Arabidopsis thaliana: one gene and its partners. The protein of the gene in region 4 interacts with the protein of the main gene of each other region in a pairwise test. Each region holds a gene or a part of one and is shown on either strand. Other genes may lie near its edges.

Region 1 (5,778 bases), on a different chromosome or scaffold from region 4:
GCATAAAATTTGTGATAGTGACGAATAACGTTGATTACTCTTTGTACTTCCTTGATTTTAGTGAATGTAATGTTGCTCTATCGAGGTGGAGCCTCGTAACATTGGTAAGGCTACAAAAATGAACATCGCTCTCTCTCTTCTTTAAGCATTCCTAAATCGTGTTTTTGTTTTTCTTTTTGGCAGCATCTTTTATTTTGTTTAAACGCCTAAAACTGCCTTTGATCTTTTTTCCTTTTTATTGATAGAATGAGATAGGACAACAAATACCTTTTTTGCCGGGAAAATTCAAAGGTTGTTGATGATTCCTTGTGTCCGCAACTAGAAAGAGAAAAGTCTGTCGTATCAAATTAGATATTGACAAAAATGTCAAAATATATGAAGAAGTGTGAGGGGAAACCGTTGATTGAACGTAAGACATTTGAAAAATGGATATGTAGTAGTTTCTAGATTTGCTTACAAGGAATGTTGAGTTGTATCATTTTCTCTAACGCAATAGCTAACGTGCACGACTTTTTTTTTTTTATGTAAACTTCAAACAAACCACGATCAACGCGTTTACTATTTATTGCATGGAAACTATAGCAAGTGTGACAACTCATATCAATTTGTGATGAATTGATTAACTACGTAGGTAGTATAATATTTGTAAGTTGGTTATTCACGTAAGAAATATTGTATTTTACTCTTATCCAGATTATTTAAGAACTCGTTTTTCAATATAATGTTTGACATTTTATACTCGAGTTAATAAACAAATTAGCTTTACATTGACAAAATTCTGTTGTATATTATTTATAATTAATCTTGACTATGGGTAATTAAATAATATTTTTTTGGAAAAAAATACATTGGATTTTCTCAAATGATCACACTTCTATTAAAACCAAAATAGTACGTATACGCTCTAGACGATTCTAAATAGATGATTAATTTGGCTCGATTCATTAATTCAAAAAATAATAATATTTAGTGTTTTAAATTAGAATTAAAATATTAAATAATTATCGGATATTTCAGTGTTTTAAATTATTGAGGATGATTTTTGTTTAGTAATGACGTCAGATTGTCTAAGGAATAGTTTGGGAAAAAAATCTGAATCAAATATGACTAACAAATGGTTATTGGTTATTGAACTGGACCATAACAAAAAGACACACACACAAAAAAAAAAACTTTTTTTATCTGGTTTGCTCCATGGATAAGAATATAGTAGCTAGGATATCCTGATCTTTAGATAACGGTAGAACATGTGGCATGTGTTTATTGTTTATTTTTATTTTATTTTGAGAACAAAATAGTTACATTGTTTGGTTATATATAAAAAAAAAACAGACCAAAAAGACAAAACCAAAGCTTAAACAAAAAAAGAAAAGAAAAACTTAATTAGACCGGTTAACACTAAACTGGTTTATGTAAAACGGATTCATAAATGTATCTAGACATTCACTTACATAAAATTCATCACAAAATTTCACCCAATTACGGTTTTGATTCGGTATAGGGACCACCTTCAAAATTACCCAATAAATAAAGAGTGGATAACAACTAGCATAAAATAATCAAAGCATCCACTAAGACACAAAACACAATTTCATAAAGATGATGATGAATCACATAACTTTAAATAAATATTCTTTCAAAAAGGCAAAACTTTTAAATAAATATCATTCGCCTGTCGGCCAAGAAAAAAAAAAAGTAAACAAAAATAAATATCATACGTATTGACAACAAAAAATTCATACGCCAGTCCAATTACAAATTACACAATATTTAAAAATTTAAATAAGGAAAACAGAAGAAGATACAATTTCAAATTAAAAAACAAAATACGTGTATATAAAATTGAATAAAACCCCAACAGAAACGTGACACAAAAGAAAAGATTGGGGAAGCTGACCTCTGCCTTTCCTCCTCCATTAATCAAGGAATATAAATCAGCTTTAAACTCAGTCCTCTTATGGAAGACAAAAAAGCAAATATTTATTCGTAAATATAACTTCAGAACCCTTTCAACAAAACTCTCTCTGTTCTTTCTCCGTGGAGAAGTTAAAGATGACGATGTCGGAGAACTCAAGAAACTTGGAAGCTGGTTTGCTACTGAGGAAGAACCAAAACGACATCAACGAATGTCGTATCACTGCTGTTGTACTTTTCAGTACTTTCGTTTCTGTTTGTGGCTCTTTCTGCTTCGGTTGTGCGGTTAGTCATCAAATCACTCATCTTTTTTTTAAAACAATTTCTCTGTTTGTTTTGCTCTGTGATTTGAAAGTTTGGGGTTGGATTTTACAGGCAGGTTATTCATCAGTTGCTCAAACAGGGATCATAAATGATTTAGGTCTCTCTGTTGCACAAGTAAGAAGCAACCCTCTCTCTTTTCTTGAATCTTTACTCAAAAAGTGCTAGTTTTGCTTAAATTACTCTGTTTTTTTGTTTTTGTTTACTACTTCAGTACTCCATGTTTGGTTCAATCATGACTTTTGGAGGAATGATTGGTGCCATCTTCAGCGGGAAAGTTGCAGATCTCATGGGTCGAAAAGGGGTAAATTTCCTGACAATTTGAAATTCATACAAACATATGTTTCAAGATCATGTACTGATGAATTTTTCTCTTAAACAGACTATGTGGTTTGCTCAAATTTTCTGCATCTTCGGTTGGGTTGCAGTAGCATTAGCAAAAGACTCCATGTGGCTTGATATTGGAAGACTATCCACAGGATTTGCAGTTGGTTTATTAAGCTATGTGGTAATAATTCTTTTACTTTCTTTTTTTCCATTTATTTTGTGTATTATATACTTATTTATTTTTACTGACTTTGTGTTAACTCTGTTGCCTTCAGATACCAGTTTACATTGCAGAAATAACACCAAAACATGTTCGAGGAGCGTTTGTATTTGCTAATCAGGTAAACTAAAGAATAATTAGAGAATAAATTCTTATAACCATAAAATAAAAAAGATATATATTATACTAATGTTCTTAAAATTTGTTCAAATGTCGTTACAGCTGATGCAGAGTTGTGGATTGTCTTTATTCTACGTCATTGGAAATTTTGTTCATTGGCGTAACTTGGCCTTAATCGGTAAGCTTCTTCCTAATCCTTTTTTTCTTTCTAGCAGGTTAGTTATGAAATTTTCATCAAGAAGTGATTTAAGTTTATCGGTTTCTGTCTCTCAGGTCTCATTCCATGTGCGTTGCAAGTTGTGACTTTGTTCTTTATTCCAGAGTCCCCTAGACTACTGGTACGTTTAGCCCTTTTTAAGTTTTGATCTTTTTTAAAAAAAGTGTGAAGTAAAACTCAATATGGTTTACAATGGTGTATAGGGAAAATGGGGACATGAAAAAGAATGTAGAGCTTCATTGCAAAGTCTTCGCGGAGATGATGCAGATATCTCTGAAGAAGCCAACACTATCAAAGTATTGCAACTTTTCACACATCTCTCTGTTTTTAAATTGTGTTGTTTTCAATAAAACATGACTAATGAACAAATCATTGGAAATGTCAACTATAGGAAACCATGATCTTGTTTGATGAAGGACCAAAATCGCGGGTTATGGATTTGTTTCAGAGAAGATATGCTCCATCTGTTGTTGTAAGTTTATTCTCAAACGTTTTGTGACAAAAAAAGTTGATTTTCTCTTGTACCGTTATACTTACTCTCTGAAGTTTGTGACATTTTGTTCAGATTGGTGTGGGACTAATGCTTCTACAACAACTCTCTGGAAGCTCAGGACTTATGTACTATGTCGGTAGCGTATTTGATAAAGGAGGTAAATAGATAAACAAACTCTGTTTCGCATGTTACGATAATTTACTGTCTTCATTTGGGAGTAACAAATATTTTCTTACTAATGGCAGGGTTTCCAAGCAGCATTGGCTCAATGATTCTTGCAGTGATCATGGTATGTCTTTGTACGTAGTTTCATTTATTCGTGAAAAATCTTGCCAAGAAGTACACTTATGCTCATGTGTTCTGCTTTTGTAGATACCAAAAGCTCTATTGGGTCTGATTTTGGTTGAGAAAATGGGACGAAGACCACTTCTATTGGTAAGATTTTGCTATCTGATCTTTTGGTCAAATATCAAATGAAGCAACAAAATTTAGCATATATCTTTTAACAGATGAATGATCTTTATTTACAGGCCTCTACCGGTGGAATGTGCTTTTTCAGCTTGCTCCTCAGTTTTTCCTTCTGCTTTCGGGTAATTAACATTAACGATTCGCTTTCTAACCAAAGATATATACAAACTTTTTTTGCTGCTGTTTATTGGAGATTCTTACCAGTTATACTAAAATTTTTCTACTTTTGTTCTTGGACAGTCATATGGCATGCTTGATGAGCTCACTCCGATTTTCACATGTATCGGTGTAGTGGTACGTTTAAAGTCATTTCTTAGACATAATAAACAAGCAACTTAAAGTATAGCTCTTGTATAACTTGATCTGAATTTGACATCATATTACAGGGTTTCATCTCTTCATTTGCCGTAGGCATGGGAGGCTTACCATGGATCATCATGTCTGAGGTAAACAAACATGAACATTAACATTAACTCCTCAAAAACCGACATATATATATTTTTTCCAGCTCTAAAAAATGTTACATTTTTTATTTTGCAGATATTCCCAATGAATGTTAAAGTTTCTGCTGGGACTCTGGTTACCTTAGCCAACTGGTCCTTTGGTTGGATTGTTGCTTTCGCCTACAACTTCATGCTAGAGTGGAACGCATCAGGTATAAATACATACTACTATATAATATACTATAGAGTCATTAAACTCTCAAAAAAAAATTAGATCTTTAATCTGATTTAATTTTTGAAATATATTAATCTGTTTCAGGAACGTTCTTGATCTTCTTTACTATATGTGGTGCGGGTATAGTCTTTATTTATGCGATGGTACCCGAAACTAAAGGAAGAACATTGGAAGATATACAAGCTTCTCTTACAGATTTTCTACAATGAGATCAAGTTTGACTTGTTTAAAGTTATTCATTTTTTCTTAGATTACAATTGGGGGGAGGTTTATAGTTTTTTGTTGTAATTGTTACCTCATTTGATGTGCAATTGAGAAAGAGATCACTTGAACATAAGGTTTAGATATCTCTCTGTCTCAGTAAATTAGCCCAATGTATGTATAGTATAGTCCCAGTTTTACACCCAAAAAAAAGAAATATAAAATTGAACTTTAAGGTATTGGCTTTTTGCTTTCATTGTATATTTAACATTTTTTTTTTTTACTTTTACTAGTTGCTAATGCTATTAATCAATCTACCAGTTCTCTGAAACCTGTAGACCCACAGTTTCTACTTTCGGACTTATTTGTTCTGTATGTGTTCCACATTTCCGGCCTCATTCCTAAAAGTTGAATTGATTTGTGAGATATTTCCTTTTCAAAAATCATTGTTCTTTTTTATATTTTCTCGATAGCATAGGGTTTTCAGATACGGATAGTGATAGGGCAACAAATAAAACTAGGTTAATTCTTATCCTCTCTAAAAGTTAGTAAAGAATAAAGACAATTTATTTCCTTTTAAGGTTCCGAAAATGAGGTTTTCTAATTCTCTCCCTAGACGTAATTAAGCTATCGCTGTGCCAACCAGATTTGTGGTAGGTTACGTGCATCTGTTGATCTATTTGCATACATCATAAAGATCAATCCTTTAATTGTTTAACCACCTTTCTGATATTTCAATTATCTTGACTTTTTTTTTCTTTGTTCGTTAAAACTATTGAATTTTTAGTCATTTAGTAAATATATTGCAAGTGCTATCCA
Region 2 (5,738 bases), on a different chromosome or scaffold from region 4:
ATGTCATCTACGAAGCAAGCAAAGGGAAGAAAAACAAAGGGGAAGCAAAAGATCGAGATGAAGAAGGTGGAGAACTATGGAGATAGGATGATTACGTTCTCAAAACGTAAAACCGGAATTTTTAAGAAAATGAACGAGCTCGTAGCAATGTGTGACGTTGAAGTGGCTTTCTTGATTTTCTCTCAACCCAAGAAGCCCTATACATTCGCACATCCGTCTATGAAGAAAGTGGCTGACCGGTTAAAGAACCCTTCGAGACAAGAACCATTAGAGAGAGACGATACCAGACCCCTCGTCGAAGCTTATAAGAAACGAAGGCTCCACGACCTCGTAAAAAAAATGGAGGCGCTCGAAGAGGAGCTTGCGATGGATCTAGAGAAGTTGAAACTGTTGAAGGAATCGAGAAATGAAAAGAAGTTAGATAAAATGTGGTGGAACTTTCCTTCGGAAGGTTTGAGCGCGAAGGAGCTGCAGCAAAGGTACCAAGCGATGCTCGAGTTACGTGATAACTTATGCGACAATATGGCTCACTTACGATTGGGAAAAGACTGTGGTGGTTCATCTTCTGTTCGTGTGGGACGTCGAGTTTCTGGTGGTGTTCGTCTGTTCGATCGTGAAGCATGATCATACATATTCATACTTGATGATTTAAATTTCTTTGTATTTGAACTGCTGATTTTAATACTGCATGTATCCATTTGACGAAGCTCAATCGTCTCGAGTATATCTCTATTATCTAACAGTATTGAGAAAAAAGGAGTTTCAGTTTTCAAAAGTTGAAAGACTGAGCCAAGTGATGACAAATTCGAGCGTTAGGGTCTTCACAAATTGGATATTTTGCGAAAAATCATGTTAGTTTTTTATTTGATGTATTATTAATAAGAAATGAGGGTTTCCTTTTTTGAAGTAATCAAAAGAATTTTCCATTTTTGCGTCCAATCATGTAAAACTTAACCATTCCTTTTGTTTCCTTTTAAAGATAAAATTCCTTTTAAAAGTAATTTTTCATTTTCTTCAGAAACCTTTCGGTCATAACCTTCTCTTATAAAATAATAATCTCTTCTTACGAATCAAAGGTCTCTTATTCGAAGGGCAATAACATTTGACCATAAAAAAAACCCCATATATATATACAGTGTATATATATATTTTTGCCCCTTTGTGAAGAAAATAAAACAATCAGAGATGAGCCCTAAATTTTCCAACCATGCGACCGTTTATGTGATCCATCGTTGCGCGGGTATATCGAAGATCGTATTATGAGTCTTTTTATGATCGTATTATCCTTTGTGCGAAGTACAACTATTGAACAAGACGAGAAAAAGTTTTCATTGCGCAGGTAAGTCGCGAGGGAGATGTATTCCATAAGTATTCTATAAGCCAAGTCTCCTAATCTCCCTGGTAACGTTATCTCATTCCACATGTACTCTATAAGTATTCGCGAGCGTGTGGTTTCGATAGAGTAATAATTTAATGATTGTAGAAGGAGATGACTGTGGGATCATCCTAGACTAGAGTTTTAATCTCTTGATTTGATTTTTCCTCGACGAGTTGAACTAACCAGCTTGTGATTTTTTTTAGCTTCTCGGGTTGTGGTAGATTTTATTATATATCACTTGGTTGTCCTATCACTTGAACTCGAATATTTACTTCTACGAATTGACTTTGCGAAATAAGCTAATATATCTAGTATTATGGTTTCCCCTGCATATGTATTTTACATTGTATTTAACCTGGATTTTGAAATCAGTTTTAAAAGTAACTGTTGAAAACATAAATTAAATAAAACTTTTTTTAAGGCTCAACTATACTTTAGAAGGAAATAAATGTGTTTCCTAGTCAATTTGTGTCGATGAACAGTACACATTGACTTTGATTGTGTGCGATATCGCGTTAGTTTGATTTAAAATGATTGTGACCATACACTTCAGAAAATCAAAATGCAATTTGACCGGAAAAAAAAAATGGTCCAGTATAATTATTATTCCATGGCACAAGTAGATATGGAAACACCATTGTTTATAACCCAAAGCGAACGTTACAGAGCTATACAAGAAATTATATGGAGATTCTGTTTTCTATTTCCATTCTTGCTCTTCTCTTTTCCGGAGTAGTAGCTGCTCCAAGCGACGATGATGTTTTCGAAGAGGTTAGGGTTGGATTGGTGGTTGACTTGAGTTCTATACAAGGCAAGATTCTGGAAACTTCTTTTAACTTAGCGCTTTCAGATTTCTATGGCATCAACAATGGATACCGAACCAGAGTCTCTGTTTTGGTCAGAGACTCCCAAGGAGACCCGATCATTGCTCTTGCCGCCGGTGAGTTTTCATCTCCCTTATTCAATTATTGCAATTTTTGGTGGGATCCACAACTCCTCTTCATTTAAAGCAGACTGAATCAAATAAAAAAGAATTGACCTAGTCCCGCCGGTTTACTCCGGTTAACATTCTCATGTCTTGCACTAACCGTTTTGCACTGCAATTTGTGTTTGTATGAAACAGCTACTGATCTTCTCAAAAATGCAAAAGCGGAAGCCATTGTTGGTGCACAATCATTACAAGAGGCAAAGCTTTTGGCGACGATTAGCGAAAAAGCTAAAGTTCCGGTCATATCTACTTTCTTGCCAAACACGTTATCTTTGAAGAAATACGATAACTTTATTCAATGGACGCATGATACTACATCAGAGGCTAAGGGAATTACAAGTCTCATACAAGATTTCAGTTGTAAATCGGTTGTGGTTATATACGAGGATGCTGATGATTGGAGTGAGAGTTTGCAAATATTGGTTGAGAATTTTCAAGATAAAGGAATCTATATCGCTCGTTCTGCTTCTTTTGCAGTCTCATCATCAGGAGAAAATCATATGATGAATCAGCTAAGGAAGCTTAAGGTCTCAAGAGCATCGGTTTTTGTGGTGCATATGTCCGAGATTCTTGTTTCTCGTCTCTTCCAATGTGTAGAGAAGTTAGGTTTGATGGAAGAAGCGTTCGCTTGGATCCTCACTGCAAGAACCATGAACTACTTGGAACATTTTGCAATAACTAGGTCGATGCAAGGGGTCATTGGTTTCAAATCTTACATCCCTGTATCTGAAGAAGTTAAGAATTTTACTTCAAGATTGAGGAAACGTATGGGAGATGATACAGAAACAGAGCATTCTAGTGTAATCATCGGTTTACGCGCACACGATATCGCTTGTATTCTAGCAAATGCAGTAGAGAAGTTCAGTGTAAGTGGTAAAGTTGAAGCATCTTCGAATGTATCAGCTGATCTTCTGGATACAATTAGACATAGTAGATTCAAGGGTTTGAGTGGTGACATCCAAATCTCTGACAACAAATTTATCTCAGAGACATTTGAAATCGTGAATATTGGAAGAGAAAAACAGAGAAGGATAGGATTATGGAGTGGTGGTAGTTTTAGCCAAAGAAGACAGATTGTTTGGCCTGGCAGGTCTCGTAAGATCCCAAGACACCGTGTTTTGGCAGAGAAAGGTGAAAAGAAGGTGCTTAGGGTCTTAGTTACCGCAGGAAACAAGGTCCCGCATCTAGTGTCGGTGCGTCCTGATCCTGAAACAGGTGTTAATACTGTCTCTGGATTCTGCGTAGAGGTTTTCAAGACTTGCATTGCTCCTTTTAACTACGAGCTTGAATTCATACCTTACCGTGGAAACAATGACAATCTTGCTTATCTACTTTCTACTCAGGTGTGAAAATGCAAACAGTTTAAAAACATTTTTCTAGTCAAAAATGATTATGTATGTTTCTAATAATGTGTGTTTGCAATTTTGACAGAGAGACAAGTATGATGCAGCAGTTGGTGATATCACCATCACTTCCAACAGATCTTTGTATGTTGATTTTACTTTGCCGTACACTGACATTGGTATTGGAATCTTGACAGTGAAAAAGAAAAGCCAAGGGATGTGGACCTTCTTTGATCCTTTCGAAAAATCCTTGTGGCTAGCAAGTGGAGCTTTCTTTGTCTTAACTGGGATTGTTGTTTGGTTAGTTGAACGGTCCGTTAATCCGGAATTTCAGGGCTCTTGGGGACAACAACTTAGTATGATGCTCTGGTTTGGTTTCTCAACCATTGTATTTGCTCACAGTAAGTGTTTATGTTAGAGTACTACTCTTCATGAAATCCCATCCTTTTGTATATTTTGATCTATAACAAATTACGCACATTCTTGGCAGGAGAGAAGCTACAGAAAATGTCATCAAGATTCTTAGTCATAGTTTGGGTTTTTGTGGTGTTAATATTGACTTCAAGTTACAGCGCAAACTTGACATCAACCAAGACCATTTCTCGCATGCAATTAAATCATCAGATGGTTTTCGGGGGATCTACGACGTCAATGACTGCGAAGCTCGGATCCATTAATGCAGTTGAGGCCTATGCACAACTTTTGCGAGATGGAACTCTTAATCATGTCATCAATGAAATACCTTATCTCAGTATCCTTATCGGAAATTATCCGAATGATTTCGTAATGACAGATAGAGTGACTAATACCAATGGCTTTGGCTTTGTATGTACCCTTCTCCTCAAACCTCTCATTTTCTCTCCATTATTTGGTTACTTATTCTTGTTACGTACTAATTTATGTTTACCTCTCAGATGTTCCAGAAAGGTTCGGATTTGGTTCCTAAAGTATCGCGAGAAATCGCGAAGCTAAGATCATTGGGAATGTTGAAAGACATGGAGAAAAAATGGTTTCAAAAACTGGATTCACTAAATGTACATTCCAACACCGAGGAAGTTGCATCTACCAACGACGATGATGAGGCATCTAAGCGATTCACCTTCCGTGAGTTGCGCGGTTTGTTCATCATTGCGGGAGCTGCTCATGTTCTCGTACTAGCCCTACATCTCTTTCATACGCGTCAAGAGGTATCACGACTATGCACCAAACTTCAAAGCTTCTATAAGTAAAAAGTGATCCATCGTTCATAAGCTCTACTATAGCAATTGACGGGACAGGACTCATAAGTAACAACAAAGTACACTTCGAAACAAATTTCACATGTAATACTTGTTTTTTTTTCCCGTTTAAATTCACATGTAATAATTTAATTCACGTAAATACTAAAGTGATTCACCCATCACGAAGTATTTTTTGAATTAAATACATCAACTAATCGAGTTTTTGATAGGGACTTTTGCTTTTTTGAATATTGCTTATCAAATCAAAATTTTCAAATTCTTGTCCATATACGCCTATCAAATATCTTCTTTTAAAGAAAGTCTCCTAAAGAGTTGAAAACTTGAAATATATACTTTTCTAAAATATAATTTTATTTGGGCGTTACGTTCTAGAAAATGGAACCCGTCTACTAAAATGGGCCGCTCGTGAACTCGTGGCAGTCAAACACTGGTCGGCGCATAAAAGCATATCCAAATACGCTGCGTTTCATGCTTACCCGACCCGTCTTAAATATTTAAAGAATATTCCAGATTAGCGCGTGAGATGCAGTTGCCATGTCTCGCCTCAGGAATGACGACATTTGCCAAAATAACAGAGCTACAACGGTAAATAAGGAAAATGATTAAGGGCAATTTGGTCTTTTAGGTTAAGAAAAGTATTGAATCAGATCTGACTTTTTGGCCAAGAAAAACTCTCAGCCACTAGATCATTCCGACCCCTCCTCCACGTTCTTCTCTCTTTTAAATAACCTCTTCACGGAACCCTTCTCACTCACCTATCTCACTCTAAAATCTCTCTCTGCCAATCT
Region 3 (4,860 bases), on a different chromosome or scaffold from region 4:
TAAATTAATAAACACGATAAATTAATAAATTTTGTCGGTCCCAAGTTGGGCCAATATAAAAATTAATCAAAATCGATAAAATAATAAGATAATAATTTTTTTAAAATCCCTATGTAAAATTATAGTCCCAATAATATTATAAATTAATAATCATAGATCTTAAGTATATATCTTAAGACTAATTTTTATATGAAATTTTTGTTCAAACTAACTCTTTTTAAAATACAACTGATATGATCTCTGTTGTACTCACATAACTATTTGCGTATTTGATCCGTCATAGTTGATTTTGTAAAATCTTTTATTTGAGAAAGCATTGTTATGATTTGTGTAAAGAGAAACTGGATTAACTTTCATGTTTACGTTTACGTTCACGTTAATGTCGTAGATATACAGATACAAATCTTGACGAAAATAAATTAAAAAAGTCAAATTAAAATAAAAACCTAACATAATTATATATGCAAACAACAAAGCATATAGAAAATTACATTAAAAAATATTTTTAAAAGAATATAGTATTGTACTTTACGTAAATATTTCTATAAATTAATATTTATTAACTTATACGATAAATTAATATTTATTAATTTAGAGGATAAATTAATATCACTATAAATTAATAAAATTTCATGGTCTCACCATTATTAATTTATAGAGTTTCTACTGTAATACTCTGAATTCTTCTTACCAAAAAAAAAAAAAAACTAGTACTCTGAATTCTTAGACTTGGTCTAGCCGACGATACACATACATCTTGGAGATGAACAAGAACGCAAAGAAAGCAATGGCCGTGAAAGCAGCGAGCAACCAATAAAAGTAATCCACATGGGCTCGGTTCAAGTTAGAGTTGAACCAGCCGTCTTTTCCCGTAGCCCAATCAATCAAACTGATGAGAAAACCACTCAAGAAGCTTGAAAGACCCATCGCACTCAGAGAAAGCGAGAGACCAATGCTCCTTAGCTCCGTTGGGACTTGGTCGTAGAAGAATTCTTGTGTTCCCACCATAGAGAACAGATCGATCATCCCGAGTAGCAAATACTGAGGGACGAACCACCATATGGACATTGGAACGGTCACGTCCGGCTTGTCCACTAGCCCGTGTTCCCTAGCGATTTTTAGCCGTTTTGATTCTACTAATGCAGCGAGCATCATATTGAAGACTGAAAGCACCATTCCAGCTCCTATCCTTTGGAGCATTGTGATCCCAAAAGGCTTTTTGGTAATCTTCCTAGCTATCGGGAGAAATACACGCTCATATAGGGGCACTGAGATGAGAATAGATACACCAACGAATGACAATAAAGAAGCCGCTGGAATTTCTACTCCCGGTAAGATTCTTCTGTCCACCGTGACCCCTTGCTTCGTGAAGAAAGTTATGTACTGAGCGTACGGAATCGTGCTCACCACGTATGTGATCCATATCGGAATAAGCCTTACCAAAGCCTTCGCGTCATCCACGTCCCTACCACTACATGGCTCAACACCTTCTCTTGAGATCATTGCTTTTGCTAGGAAACTTGTCACACAAGGTAAAGAAATTTACACTCAAAATTATGCCAAAAGACTAAAACAAAACACAAAATATTCGAACTTACTTGAGCCGATCTTTACGTTTCTCGGACTGACCATCCTCCAATAGACCTTGATCCAATTCCAAACTAGAATGTTCTAACCTCAGTTTCCGATTCTTGAACGCAATAACAAAAACTCTACCGATTCTTGCAAAAGTGTTACTACTATTAACCTCCTCATGATGTCCCTTTGGGTATCTATATATCTTCCTCCCGAGCAAGAAGATAGCAAGAGCCATAACCATAAACAAACAAGGAATCCCAAACCCAAACGCCCAATTAACATTTTCTTGAACATAAGCGACCACAATAATCGATATGCTTATTCCCGCAGATAAACTCAAGAACCACCAATTGAAAAACGACCCTCTCGCTATTACCTCCTTCGGATCTTCAGCATCAAACTGGTCCGCACCAAACGCTTGAACACACGGTTTGTGTCCACCTTGTCCGATCGCCACCAAATACAGAGAACAGAAGAAAAGTGTATTAACCCAAATAGATGGTTTAGCAGAAGCGTCGTTACGTTGCTTAGATAATCCCATTATGATTAAAGAAGCTGATAACGTCAATAGTCCTAGCCCCTGTAATAATAATAATCCTCCAAATTCAGCTAAAATCCCGGTTTAAATCATACAAAGATCAAACCGGTTTAACTAGAAGAAGACAAAAGTACTAACCAATATGTAGATGAGGGAAGCTACGACAATAGTACGGTAACGACCAAGATAAGCGTCAGCTACGAAAGCTCCTAAAATAGGAAGTATAGAGGCAGTTCCCGACCACGTGTTCACGTTCACGGCAGCTTTCGCCGTCGATTGTCCGAGAGGTCCGGTGAGGTAAGTAATCAAATTGCAGGCAATCCCAAAGTAAGCAAACCTCTCTGCAACTTCCACACCTAAACAAATCATTTAAGACTGGGACTTAGAAGTTTAACTAGAAAAAGAAAAAAAATTGGATTGTTTCTGATGTGTTTTACCTATAATGAACCAGGCCGATCTCCATCCGCCGGTGGAAGATTTTCCGGCGGGAAATCCACGGTGGTCGACGGAATCGCTAACGTAATCTTCTAAGAGTGCAACTTCTTCCTCTGGTATCTTCATTTCTCTCACCAATAGAGGTTGAGAATCTCTGTGAAAACTTTTTAAAGGGTAAATGCCTAAATGAGATTTTTAAGCTAAAAGATCTCTTTGTCTTGCGCAACTAGTGAACACGATTACATTAATTTATGATATTTTGGGTAACTAAACTTTCTAGTCTTTCTTTTATGTGTATCTGTATATTTATTGGCATTTGAGATGAGTGTACTATACGCGTTAAAAAATAAGTATGCAATTACATTATCTTATTTGTATTTTTATTTTATATAACTTTCCGATATTATTGTATTATTACGCAATAATACGCATACTTCCTTTGGACAAGTGATACACGTACGAGCTAGATATTTGCCATGTTTTGTTTTGTATCAGCAAATTCTTTTTGTCATTTTTTTCAATCAAAAGTCAACATCAAGGGTAATTTGATTGATCACGACTTATTCTTAAAATTAAGTTATAAAAAACATGTAACTTAGTGATGTACAATTGTTATTTGAGTATAAATGTTGATAGAATATTTAGATGTTTTTGGGTTGGATCGACCAAAAATCCATATATCATTCAAGCTCTTAGACTTAGGCTTAGCTAACCATAATTTTGACGTATCATTTTATTTGTAAATTCACTTACTTTTTAGTCACAAAAGCAACATAATTGATCACTATTATTTCAAAATTAGAAAATTCGTTAACAATAAAAAAAATAGACAACATTTGTATAAACATTTTACATTTGTATAAATGCTGAGACTAAATCAATAAGTTTTTAATTTGGAATATTTATTATGTAGTTGTATATTTTTCTTTCTCCTACTTGGCTAGTGGCTACTTGCATGCTCTTTGGTCCGCTTGTTGCGGTGTTCCGTATTTATGATCGAGTTATTCTTATCTCCTGATTAGCTGTCACTTCATAACTTCTTTTTACTTGCAAGTTGCAGGGTAATATGAATGTATTTGTTCACAGCACAAGACTATACTCTCCACAAATCAGCAAAATACATTCTACACGAATGTTTCCTTTTTTCTCAAGCTGTGGTCACTAAATTTTATTTTTTGGCTAAGATGTTTGTGATAGATCAGTCAAATAGTCAAAATAATATTTGTTCATAGCAGAAATAATCTCCTGTATTTCAGTTTTGAATAGTCAAATATAGATTGATTCTGATAAAGTTGGAAACCTTATCAGCTTTGGACACACAAAAAAAAGTCTTATCAGATATGTTATCGCGCCAAGCAGATGAGATGGATTTTGAATGTTACTTTGTCTTTTCATGTGTAATAGAAACAGAAAAATTCGGATTACTCAAATTGTTGACAATTTTTCGAGTTTTTGAAAGTCGCATGCTTAAATTATGTTGGCAACAATTTTCAGCATACTGCTGATTGATTCATATTTGGTGATTACGTTTGTTTCGTTGATTGTAGATTTGTTTGTTGAAGACATTTTTTGTTCTTGGGGGTTGATGTAGTAAATGAATATTAAAATCTTTATATTATTTGCATCCACTTGAGGATAAGATAATATTGTTGTCTTGCTGAGGAACGTGTTATACGTGTAGTACGTGTATAACTTGCGTTCTCTGAAATCATTCATTTAAAAAAAAAAACCTGCGTTCTCTCCTTTCTTACTACTCTCGAGTCTCAAACATTCTCTCTTTTTTATAGGCCCAAAATATTTCGAAATCAAAAGGGGCCGAAATACGGGCCTAAATAATTTGTGTGAACCATTTTATCATACATGGTTGCTAAGTTGCTATGATGTCGTATCCTTAGGAGTTAGGATTGGTACTCACGCCTAGACTGAACGGCGTGACATGCGGAAGATCGATAAATGGCATCATGACCTAACAATATTGAAAGGATCGAGATATGTAATATCTTTAAGCTCACGAAAAGATACAAACAAACATCGAATAAATTATATTTACATGGATTCCTCTCTTTTAAAGTCAAACAAAAAATATTATGACTTGGAAGTCTTGAACATTGAATGTTCTTTAGAAGGCACTATACCGGTGTACCGGTGTTTCAAATAATGTCTTAAGTTTTAGTGGAAATTTATTTACTTCCCAAAAATGATCTCTAACTATCTTAAGGAACAACCATGCAGATAAAGAATTTTAATACTAGTTTATGTAGAGTGTTTCATATGTATTTTTTTCCGTCATCATTAAGTTCGTAGAAACT
Region 4 (4,230 bases):
CTCACCTAGGAACCGTGTATTGGTTTACGTAGTGCTTGGACTTCTTGTAGGAGCAGATTGCTATCTGTACTCCATTGGACTTCTTTACTTACCCGTTTCTACCTATTCCCTGATCTGTGCATCTCAGTTAGCCTTCAATGCTTTCTTCTCTTATTTTCTTAACTCACAAAAACTTACCCCTATCATTTTAAATTCTCTTTTCCTCCTAACTATATCTTCCACCCTACTTGCATTCAATAATGAGGAGACAGACTCCACAAAAGTTACAAAAGGAGAGTATGTCAAAGGTTTCATATGCACCGTTGCTGCGTCTGCTGGTTATGGTCTAGTCTTATCCCTACAACAGCTAGCCTTTCTAAAAGTCCTAAAGAAGCAAAATTTCTCAGAAGTTATGGATATGATAATCTACGTGAGTCTAGTGGCCAGTTGTGTTAGCGTGGTGGGGCTTTTTGCTAGCAGTGAGTGGAAAACTTTGAGCAGTGAAATGGATAACTACAAACATGGGAAGGTATCCTACATTATGAACCTAGTGTGGACAGCTGTTACCTGGCAGGTATTCTCCATCGGTGGCACAGGACTGATCTTCGAGCTCTCCTCTCTATTCTCAAATGCAATAAGCGTTTTGGGACTCCCAGTGGTTCCTATCTTGGCTGTAATCATTTTCCATGACAAAATGAATGGGTTAAAGGTGATTTCTATGATCCTAGCTATTTGGGGTTTCACTTCCTATGTCTACCAACAATATCTTGATGACAAAAACTTGAAGAAAAATCATGAAATCACAACAACAGAATCCCCTGACCCACCAGAAGCAGAAGAGTCAACTTGGCAATCAAAATAAGCTGATATTTTGAAAGATGCTGTCCCGCAGTTTACAGACTCAATCAATCTAGTTAAGTAAACTTACTTTACTTATCGGCCTGGAGGCATCCTACATTGAAGAATACACAATACATTTTTGATGCAACTAATGTAAAGTCTCAGCTTGAAATTTTTTGCATCATTGTAACAGGAAGTAGATTTCATTTAAATAAGTAGTGAATGACTTTGGTTTAGTTTCAATTACGATTACCCAAATTACATTGTAATCTCAGTGAACCAACAATCTTAAGTTTAGAACAGCTGATTACAAAAGTTCATCGTTTAAACTTGGGTTCATAGCAGCTAAAGATTAAATGTAACTCAACCCTGTATGTAACAAGAACCTGTAGGCAGATTGATAAAAGTAGATATTTATTTAATAAAAAACCATGTCAATTTTGTGAGTGTGACACCTGATAAAAATTAACCCTTAGCCATAACTTAAAAAGATTTCAATGCACTATTCCACTTTCTAGTTTTACCTGAAACATTGTGAAACAAGGACACACAGAAAATCATTTCTAATGAAGAAAGAAGAAATATTAATCAGACAGGTCCAAACATCCTTGGTGAAACAGAGCTTTGTACAAAAAGTAAATGACCAGAAATAATACCATTTGGCAGTCTCCATCTTAGCAGTTAATAAAGTGACTTCCTCTGCCATCCAATATTGTGGTGCAAATGTCTTCTTTTGAAAAGAGAAGCGAGACATCATCTCCATAAATGTGTTTCTAATCCACATGCCTGATCTCATAAGAGAAAGATAGTCAGACGGAACAAGCCAAAGAAATTAAAGAAGACGAATAACTTTCAAAATAGACATCCTGACGGTCATACAATCTTACAACTTGTGTGCATGCGTGTTAAGTTTGTGTCTATGCATATGGCTGATGTGTCACACAGGTATAAAATACTGAGTGACTAATGGCTACACATCATTTCCTTCTTGATTTGACTCGACTCATCTCTAGATCAACAATAGTGACAAAAGAAATTAAATTCACAGCAAGAGAAGATATACAGTTGGCATTTACTGAATGTGGGGACAAGTACAATCAAAACATAGACGATGACCGATTCCTAATCTCTAAATATATAGCTACAGCGTGTCTCACCCATATCACAGAAGCAATCACTTGGTAGCACTAGTAACCAAGCAATTTGATAATAAGATACCTAATACTTAGAATCTATTCAGAACATTGTTAGTACCTCCTTGTCCATCTCGAAGGAGGGGGATTCCACATCTACTATGAAGGGGGATCAAGAAGTACAAGTCATTGGTGAGTAAGCATAAACCAGTTCCTCGAGAACCTACTGGTCTTTTATCTTCAAATAAAAGACGAAAAATATGGTTATGGTATCTTATTATTCAATATATCAATATTTTTCATGTGTGACAACAAATAAGTCATAATCTAATTTCTTGCGTTATTTTCCATCACTCACCAGTTCAGCAGGGAAAAGAACCAATTCCAACAGATCAAGACGAAAGAAGTTCGGTCAGTGGCAGCCAAACAAAACTATCTCACTCTAATACATACAAACGGTGGCTCCGGGTTGCTATCTATACATTCTTTGTCATTTCAGGCCAATCAGTTGCTACAATTCTGGGCAGACTATACTATGAAAATGGAGGAAACAGCAAATGGCTAGCAACGGTAGTTCAGCTTGTAGGCTTTCCTATTCTACTTCCATATCATCTCTTGTCAGTCAAAACACATACAACAACTCAGAGAGATGGCAAATTAACCTCACTTAGGAACCGTGCATTAGTTTACATAGTGCTTGGACTTCTTGTAGGAGCAGCTTGCTACCTATATTCCATTGGACTGCTTTACCTACCTGTTTCTACCCTTTCCCTGATCTGTGCATCACAGTTAGCCTTCACCGCTTTCTTCTCTTATTTACTCAACTCACAAAAACTTACTCCTATCATTTTGAATTCTCTTTTCCTCCTCACTATATCTTCCACCCTCCTTGCATTTAATAACGAGGAATCAGATTCCAAAAAAGTTACAAAAGGAGAGTATGTCAAAGGTTTCGTATGCACCGTTGGTGCATCTGCTGGGTTTGGTCTACTCTTATCCCTACAACAGCTAGCCTTTCGTAAAGTTTTAAAGAAGCAAACTTTCTCAGAAGTTATAAATATGATAATCTACATGAGTCTAGTGGCCAGTTGTGTTAGCGTGGTGGGGCTTTTTGCTAGTAGCGAGTGGAAAACTTTGAGCAGTGAAATGGAAAACTACAAACTTGGGAAGGTATCCTATGTCATGAACCTAGTGTGGACAGCTGTTACCTGGCAGGTATTCTCCATCGGTTGCACAGGACTGATCTTCGAGCTTTCCTCCCTATTCTCAAATGCAATAAGCGCTTTGGGACTCCCCGTGGTTCCTATCCTGGCTGTCATCATTTTCCATGACAAAATGAACGGCTTAAAGGTGATTTCTATGATTCTAGCTATTTGGGGTTTCGTATCCTATGTCTACCAACAATATCTTGATGAAACAAACTTGAAGAAAAGTAATGAAATACCAACAACAGAATCCCCTGACCGACCAGAAGCAGAAGGGTCAAGTGAGCAATCAAAATAAGCTGTTACTTCAAAGATTGTGGCACACACAGTTTACAGACTAAAGCGAGCTGATCAAGTAAACTTACTTTTCTTTATTGGTATGAAGGCAGCCTACAATGAAAAATAAACATAATAGATTTGTGATGCGACTCAAGTGAAGTCACAGCCTGAAAATGTGTGCATCATTGTAACATGAAGTATATTTTATTTAAATATATGTTGTGCACGATTCTGGTTTAGTTTGGAATAAGATGACCAAAATCACATTATAAGCTCACTGAAATAGCATTAAGTCATTAACAAAGTCAAAACAGCTGATTACAAAAATTCATTGTTTAAAACTCAATCCTGCATATAAAGAGAAGGTGTACACTATGTAGCTTTCTAAGTTTTTGTAATATATCTAGGTGTAAGTAGAGTTCCAATCAGCTTACATCAGGCACCCAACATAGTGAGCCCGAGGATACTTCTTATGCAGTTGTGGCCATTGAACAAAGAATTGATCAGCTATTCTCAACTTGTAAAGCAACAATCCACTTAATGAGAGCTTTTTCACTCTTGCTACACTCTCAACATAAAAGATTGATGACCATCTAATTCCCAGCACCTGTAACCCAAGATGAAACAAGCACTTATGGGAATTCTAGATGTAATGGAGAAACCATGACTAAGAATAAACAAAACACATCCTCTGTTTTTGGTCACAAGTCCATTCAAGGTCATCCAAAATGTAGAGGAAAGAACTGCAAAGAATCTTGATAAAATATTTCCGAAGTGTGTATACCTTGAATAAA

The links.
Region 1: the proteins of AT4G18220 (region 4) and ESL1 interact in a protein complementation assay, tested with the Arabidopsis thaliana proteins (one large-scale study listed by BioGRID).
Region 2: the proteins of AT4G18220 (region 4) and GLR1.1 interact in a protein complementation assay, tested with the Arabidopsis thaliana proteins (one large-scale study listed by BioGRID).
Region 3: the proteins of AT4G18220 (region 4) and AT1G22570 interact in a protein complementation assay, tested with the Arabidopsis thaliana proteins (one large-scale study listed by BioGRID).

The regions. Positions count from the first base shown.
Region 1 is NC_003070.9:2,865,394-2,871,171, forward strand, and holds ESL1 (ERD (early response to dehydration) six-like 1), read left to right. Parts: upstream 1-1,865; 5' UTR 1,866-2,052; coding exon 2,053-2,199; intron 2,200-2,289; coding exon 2,290-2,352; intron 2,353-2,449; coding exon 2,450-2,539; intron 2,540-2,617; coding exon 2,618-2,743; intron 2,744-2,837; coding exon 2,838-2,903; intron 2,904-3,004; coding exon 3,005-3,080; intron 3,081-3,175; coding exon 3,176-3,240; intron 3,241-3,322; coding exon 3,323-3,415; intron 3,416-3,510; coding exon 3,511-3,591; intron 3,592-3,684; coding exon 3,685-3,769; intron 3,770-3,857; coding exon 3,858-3,901; intron 3,902-3,984; coding exon 3,985-4,047; intron 4,048-4,121; coding exon 4,122-4,202; intron 4,203-4,320; coding exon 4,321-4,374; intron 4,375-4,466; coding exon 4,467-4,526; intron 4,527-4,620; coding exon 4,621-4,735; coding exon of another isoform or gene 4,736-4,797; exon of another isoform or gene 4,798-4,837; intron 4,838-4,842; coding exon 4,843-4,967; 3' UTR 4,968-5,263; downstream 5,264-5,778. UniProt on the Arabidopsis thaliana protein: Sugar transporter. Transports monosaccharides across the vacuolar membrane independently from a proton gradient.
Region 2 is NC_003074.8:1,075,299-1,081,036, forward strand, and holds GLR1.1 (glutamate receptor 1.1), read left to right. Parts: upstream 1-1,937; 5' UTR 1,938-2,062; coding exon 2,063-2,318; intron 2,319-2,501; coding exon 2,502-3,709; intron 3,710-3,797; coding exon 3,798-4,110; intron 4,111-4,199; coding exon 4,200-4,534; coding exon of another isoform or gene 4,535-4,623; coding exon 4,624-4,938; 3' UTR 4,939-5,206; downstream 5,207-5,738. Other genes in the region: AGL57 (AGAMOUS-like 57), read left to right, coding at 1-624. UniProt on the Arabidopsis thaliana protein: Glutamate-gated receptor that probably acts as a non-selective cation channel. Can transport sodium, potassium, and calcium ions.
Region 3 is NC_003070.9:7,975,897-7,980,756, forward strand, and holds AT1G22570 (Major facilitator superfamily protein), read right to left. Parts: upstream 2,915-4,860; 5' UTR 2,678-2,914; coding exon 2,554-2,677; intron 2,552-2,553; exon of another isoform or gene 2,486-2,551; coding exon of another isoform or gene 2,473-2,485; coding exon 2,255-2,472; intron 2,159-2,254; coding exon 1,599-2,158; intron 1,520-1,598; coding exon 724-1,519; 3' UTR 528-723; downstream 1-527.
Region 4 is NC_003075.7:10,076,655-10,080,884, forward strand, and holds AT4G18220 (Drug/metabolite transporter superfamily protein), read left to right. Parts: upstream 1-1,983; 5' UTR 1,984-2,073; coding exon of another isoform or gene 2,074-2,113; coding exon 2,114-2,144; coding exon of another isoform or gene 2,145-2,190; intron 2,191-2,313; coding exon 2,314-3,455; 3' UTR 3,456-3,708; downstream 3,709-4,230. Other genes in the region: PUP10 (purine permease 10), read left to right, coding at 1-841; AT4G18230 (UDP-N-acetylglucosamine transferase subunit ALG14-like protein), read right to left, coding at 3,867-4,043, 4,221-4,230.